Linked DNA regions of Mus musculus. The protein of the gene in region 2 purifies or fractionates together with the protein of the main gene of each other region. This does not show direct contact. Links are inferred from orthologs where the notes say so. Each region holds a gene or a part of one and is shown on either strand. Other genes may lie near its edges.

Region 1 (3,651 bases), on a different chromosome or scaffold from region 2:
GACTGAGGAAGGCGGAGATAGACAGACATGGTGAAGACAGACTGTGTCAAAATAAGACTTGTCTCGTCCTCCTTCCACATGCTTGTACAATCATCAGATTTAAAATATGAAATCAAGCAGATTCGGGAAAATCTTATCAAAGTGGGAAGTAAAGCGCAAGAGGCCAGCAAAAGGAAAGAGAAGACAGTAGCCTGCTGAAGACAGCTAGGCCACGTGGTGTGGCAGAAACACAGTGGCTTCATTTATCAACTTTACTCACATCTGCAAGACACTCTCTAGTGATCTGTGTAATTATAAGGACTTTAATGCACGGACCCAACAAAGCAGGGCTGCCAAAGTGCAGATTAACAGCGTTTCCAGGGAGCGACAACACGGGAATACAGAAAAAGTAACTTCTACAATACCTTCTGCTTTCTCTTTTCCTTCCTCTTGTCCTCTGTATCTTGCAACATCTTTTCTTTCCACAGATCAAAGAAATATGAAGGATTGGTATAAAACTTCAGCCCTTCCTTACCATCATCCCTGGAAAACAGCACGCCCAACAGTGTATTAGGTGAGACAGAGAAACAAGCAGACCAATGCTTACCACTGAAGTGTGCTTCCCTCCGTGACAGCGCATCACACACACAGCATGTGCACACGAGTGCCTTGCCAGGCAGGGAGCATATCAGTGACCCTGGCACTCAAGGCAAGGGACGAAAAGGTCACAAGCTTGTGGCCACTCCAGGTGACATAAGGAGATTGTGTATCAAAATAAATAAATATTGTCAAAATAGAGTATTATACTAATACAGTTTTTTTCTTTTCTTTCTTTTTTTTTTTTTATAAATCAGAAAGGAAACTATGAAAAAAGGAAAAGCAGACGCCTTTCAGGGTTGGTTAATAGTGTTAAACACTGTTGCCCAACTGTAGGGCCCATCTTTCCTGAATACTAAATTTCCAAGTCCTTTGGGAAATTCAATAATTAGAAATACTTCTGCCAAATCACAAAGTCTGGAAAGCAGGAGCATCGCTTAGAACAGAGAGCCTTTCCCGTTTCCACTGGTGTGCTACCAACTCGCTATCTTACCAAATCCAAAGGGGTTTCCTAACTTTCAGCTCAGTGTGAGCAGTTACTAACATGCATGCTGAACTACAGCTTCCAACAACAATTTCAATATCATTTCCCCCCAGGATGTGTGCTGTACGTCTTAAACTGCCTATTTAACAAACCCTGGGAAAGAATTTCCAAGAAACTGAGTCATTCCAGACTTCATCAGAGTAAGTGGTGGAAAGTATTAAAAACCTAACATATCCATTATGCAGCCAGGGCAGATGTACACACTGGGAACAGACAGCTGTCTGTCAGCACTGGGGAATTTCAAACTTCAATTTCTTATGGTTAAAATTTAAATTAGAAAGACAAGGGCAACTTCCGTGACACAGTTCCATGGTAATACCTTTGCTGGTGGCTATTCATAGTCATCACTCAACTGGCCCTGGCTTTTGTATGTCAGATCCTACAAAGCTCACCTGTGAGTAAAGGTTTCGAGAAAGCAGTAGGTAGGAAGGCTCCTCTCTGTTAGCTAGACTCAAAAGCAATTACAAATTGCGTGAATCAAGCCCGTAAACGCGGAGTGTGAGGCAGACAGCAGGGTTAACTTATCTGCTGACCTGTAAGGGGTGAGGATATTGAGAGGCGGAGGTTGCTCACACACATCGTATGTTTCTTGCAATGGAATAGGCAACGTCTTGCGGTCGAAAAGCTGCTGATCTTGAATTGTGGAGCTCCGGAAAGCCTTTCTCATCGTTATATCTTGCAAAGACACTGAAACAAAAAAACCACAGATTCGTCTTGTTTTTCTAAGACAACTCAGCCGAATGACATATTAGTACTGCATAAAGCTAGTGTGCCCCAAAGGTTGTGTGCCTTAAATCAGGAGTCGTTGTAAACATTTTATTATCGTGTTTATCCCTGTCACTCCCTGCCTGATCTTCCAGATGAGTTTTAATGCAGCTTTTGTCCTCACAAGCTCTGAAGCATTAGGTCGCATTCCCACCAATATTTCCTTTCTCTCCTGGCTACTCCTGCCCAGCCCACCCGACATAAACCTCTGTACTTTTCTGCCATCTCTCCTGTCTACCTTTATTTATCAATAGCTTCTGGTCAGAATTGCCTGAGGGACTAATTACTAGTGTGTGAGCTCCTGTGTACACTATAAATACCACATATGGGTGATCTATATTAGTTTTGAAGTTACTCTTCTATTTGTACTATGCTGATTTCAACCTAACCGTACAAGGCTGAGACTATCTTGTACATTAGTATCTGCGGTAACTGGCAGAGCCCCATCACATCCGTGATAATTTAAAACTAGCTTTGCTTACTTTTGTGCTCTCCAGAATATTCAAATAAGGTTTACATCAAAATTCATCCAAACTGTAGTTTTAATATTAAGAGTGATTTCTTCACATTAAAACACTGGGCAAAGCCAGTATGATGGCTCCCAACACTTGGGAGGGGAGGGCAAATTTGCCACACATTCCAAGACTAATTTAGAGTCAAAATAAAACCAAAATCAAAAGAAGAAACGACCTTGTATACGGAATATATATTTGTATTGTAAGTATACAAATACAATATCCACAGCAATGTCAGTAATCAGTCATAATTTTCAATCATTTTCCCTAAGATACCCTAACATTTTTTAAGGCCAATTCATGGACATAGGAGTCTGCATGTCACAGGGGAGCAATGGTACTGCTCTACAAGCACGGTCACAGCAGAACTGCATCTCAACAGGCCCACGCTCCTGTCGTGACATACCTACAAACATCAGCACAGAGTTCAGAGCTTCCCCCACCATCAGCAGAGAGTGGTTCGGGAGATAATGAGTAGGTTCTCTCCGTGATGGGTGCTTTCACTAATTTTCATGACATTTAACCTCTCAGCACTTCAGTGAAGAGAAACTGCCATTCCATCTTTAAATACAGACAAGCTATAAAACACACAGCAGGCTCAACAATGGAGGCTAAGCAGCTCACCAGAACTGAAAACTCAGATCTGTTCTTGAGGCTGATTCTTACCATAACACTGTTTTCAGGCTACCAGAAGTGGCCTGTGCTTGGGGTAATGGATCAGTCAGTGCCAACCCCTCTCTCTACTTAGCAGCTATGAACCAAAACAGAGCCGGGTGCCAAATGCCCAAAGCCGTTTTGGTAAAGGATAAAAAACCACATGCAAGAGAGAAGAACTGTTCTGGCTTCAGCTCCTCACTGTGTCATCCCACTGACAAAGCAGACACTGCGACAACAGCCCCTTCCACTCAACAGCATCTCACACTACCTCAACAGTATTATACGCATGGTAAGTATGTTAGCTCAATGTGCTTGTAAGCAAAATTGAATTAAATATAATTGTATAAATTTTTATAACATTCTTACACATTTTCTAAATTAGATTGGCAGTTTCTCGGTTGCTACCACTTAAAGATAATACAAAATACCTTTATTATACTCTGTAGTTTAATTATATGTTCATGTTCTTTTCTTTGAACTCCCTCTACATTTCAAAACCCAAATTGAATCACAAATCTCCACAAAACAATTCCAAAACAAGAGTTTGGCTTTTAGATTTAGACTTTTTCTCCATGTTTCGTGTATTTTAAAGAA
Region 2 (2,834 bases):
AGCACATGACCCGACTATCCCTCCAGGCTCAGACTGCTATCAGTTTTTGTAGATCCAAGAGCATGCCCACCTATGGTGGGCCCTCTGAGAACGGATTTTGCACCAGTGCCTACAGTACCTGAACCAGGGGAGCCCATCTTCTCTGTAGCAGCCAGCTGCACACCTCCATTCTCCGCCAGCTCCCCGTTAGTCCTGTCCTCAGCGTGAGGGAGCCCATTGGTGGATGGAGCAGTAAGAGACTCCGTCCTGGGAAGACTGGGGGACGGAGGAGGGACTCCCACTGAGGGTTTGCGGGCCACTGGTGGGGGAGCCTTGGAAGGCTTCTTCTGGGCCTGGGGAGGTGGCCGATGCTCTGAAATGCTCCGAAGTTCAGCCACCAGATTCCGCTGGAGGTCAGCCTGGGCCTCGGGGGACACGGGCCTCTCCAGCTGCAGTTTTTTGGTGCCCTTGGAGAAGATGAAGCTGGCCTTGGAGGCAGGAGACTGTGGCGACCGTGGCTCTGCCTCGGGTATTCCAGTGGGCAGAGCACTCGCAGGACTCTCACTGGCAGCCAGGCTAGAGGCCTTGAGTCGGACGGCAGCATGGAGCCCAGAGGAGGGAGCAGTCACTGGGCTGGCGCGCCCAGACAGGGCTCTTCGCAGAGGCTTCTGAGGGGCCGATGAACCCGGAGAAGGGTTCGGAATCCCTGTGGAAGCACCCACAGAGCGAAGCCGGACCATCTGCAGGAGCGAGGGTGTGACCAGAGGCGTGCCCGAATCCTCCCTGGGAGCCCCGCTGTGCTTGCCCACTGAGTCCTTCTGTGGGAGCCTGGCCAGAGGTTCTGATCCAGAACTAGGAGGTGGAGCTGGCGGAGGAGTCTGGGACAAGCTAGCAGCTGGGGGGACGGCAGCCTCAGAGCTGCAGGACTCCAGAGGGCCAAGCTCAGGGCCTGCATTGAAGAAGACCTCCTCAGGAGGGGGGAAGTCAGCCATCGACAGGTCCTGTTCCTCAGGTGCAGGTGGTGGTGGCGGCGGCCAGCTGGGATCTGGAAGGATCTCCACAGCAGCTTCCGGAGGAGGTGGGGCCTCCTCCAGCACCTCCGGCTTCTTAGTAGGTGGTGGGGGTGGATGGTAAGATGGGGGTGGGGATGGTGGGGGTGACTCATCTTTGGAGGCAACAGGAGACTCCTGGGCTGGAGTCAAGGTTGTCTGGGGCATGGAAGGGGATGCAGGACTGGTGTCGATGGTGGACACCTGCCCAGGAGCCACAGCAGGGGCAGCCAGAACAGGAGCAGCTTGGTTCGAGCTCTTGGACTTGGAAGGTGGTGGAGAGAAAGGAGCAGGCACCTTGGGATGAGGAGGTATGACGAACCTGTCACTCAAGGGGGTAGACATTTGTGGGCCAGAGCGGTCTAAAGGAGTAGGGTCTGAAGAAGAGGAACACAGAGATGTAAGGGAAGAGGATACAGAGGCCCCAGGAGATCGAAGGGATGTCACTCGATCTGGTTTGGGGGGCTGAGCCTTGCCTGGGGAAGCAGGGGCAACTGCCAGACCCTTGGGAGGGAGAGTTGGGGTACCGCTCTGGCTCGAGTAGCCACTTGAAGGTGAAAGTGTCCGTTCTGGGGAACGTGGGGGACGCCTGGAGCCACCTGGGGACAAGCCAGAGCCCCAGGTGCCTGCTGAGCTGGGTGGACAAGATACTGCCCCCACCCCTGAAGAGCCACCCGCAGTGGGCGGCCGAGGCAGCTGTGGCTGCTGCTTTCGCTCAGGTTTGGGCGGCAACCCTAAGGGCCCATCAGGCACTGCGGAGCCGCGCTGATGGAGGGAGTAGGTCCGGCGGGGAGGCGGGGGAGGCCGTTTCATCTTACGCAGGGACACACTCCTGCCAGACAGCTGCCCACTGCTTCGGATGCTGGCCGTGTCTGAGGTCTCCGCAGTGCTACCCCCGCTGGGGGAGCCCCGCCCACTACCGCCTGGAGGAGGGGGCGCCACATTATTGCTAGCTACAGAGCCTTCTGGCTGGCCCTCAGAGCCCCCCTTAGAGGAAAGAGTGGAACCATCAGACACAATGGTCTCGGAGGACTGAGAGTGGCTCCAGTTGTCACTGGACGAGGAAGCGTTGCGGCTGCGGGGCCGTGGACTGGAAGCCGAGGAGAAGCGGCCCAGGGAGCGAACCGAAGCTGGGCTGGCAGAGAGCAGGCTGCAACGGCTCAGAGTGCGCAGGCTGCTGCGGCCCAGGGCCACCACATCCACGGTGGGCGGCAGCACGGCGTGCGGGATCAGCTTCGACAAGTAGGTGGCCTGGGGTGAGATTGACATGGCTGGGCTCAGTGGCTCTGGAGATCCTGCTCCTCCTGTCAGTCCAGGCACTGCGAGAGACATTGGCCTCGTCAGTGGCGGTGGCCGGGCTCCCGTGGATCGGCCAACAAGCGTGTCATCGTGGTAAACACGGTCGATGTGGCGCTGGATGACAGCCTCTGCATCTGTGCCGGCCTCTGTTTCTGCTTCCAGAGCCTGCAGGGACACTCGGACCCCTGTCCCTAAGGCCAGACCGGGGCGACCATCCACCGTGGGGATGCGGACAGCGTCCCGTGAACCAGGAGGCTGTGGAGTGCCCGGTGCCTCACGGTTGTTCCGCAGGCCTGAAACAGACATGGGGTCAGCGGAGGGGCTTGGCCAGGCTCCCGGGCATCCACCACCACTGCTCACCGACCAAGGCTCACCGAGCTCCTTCTGCACGTGCTGAGGCAGCCCCAGCACCGTGCTCCTTCGCTCCCTCCGTCGCCTTCCTGACTTCCCAGATTTGGGAAATGAGTCATGGGGTCTGAAGGTGGAGCCTAAGGAGTCAGTCCAGAG

Evidence for each region. Proteins that work in one complex are often made in the same cells at the same time.
Region 1: the proteins of C77080 (region 2) and Wasf1 purify together in Homo sapiens (affinity purification with mass spectrometry; 3 studies listed by BioGRID and IntAct, with this or other methods). This does not show direct contact. The link is inferred for Mus musculus from reciprocal best matches to the Homo sapiens genes NHSL3 and WASF1.

The regions. Positions count from the first base shown.
Region 1 is NC_000076.6:40,928,787-40,932,437, reverse strand, and holds part of Wasf1 (wiskott-Aldrich syndrome protein family member 1), read right to left. Parts: intron 1,808-3,651; coding exon 1,654-1,807; intron 523-1,653; coding exon 405-522; intron 1-404.
Region 2 is NC_000070.6:129,221,697-129,224,530, forward strand, and holds part of C77080 (uncharacterized protein KIAA1522), read right to left. Parts: intron 2,816-2,834; coding exon 2,702-2,815; intron 2,621-2,701; coding exon 119-2,620; intron 1-118. UniProt on the Homo sapiens protein: Able to directly activate the TNF-NFkappaB signaling pathway.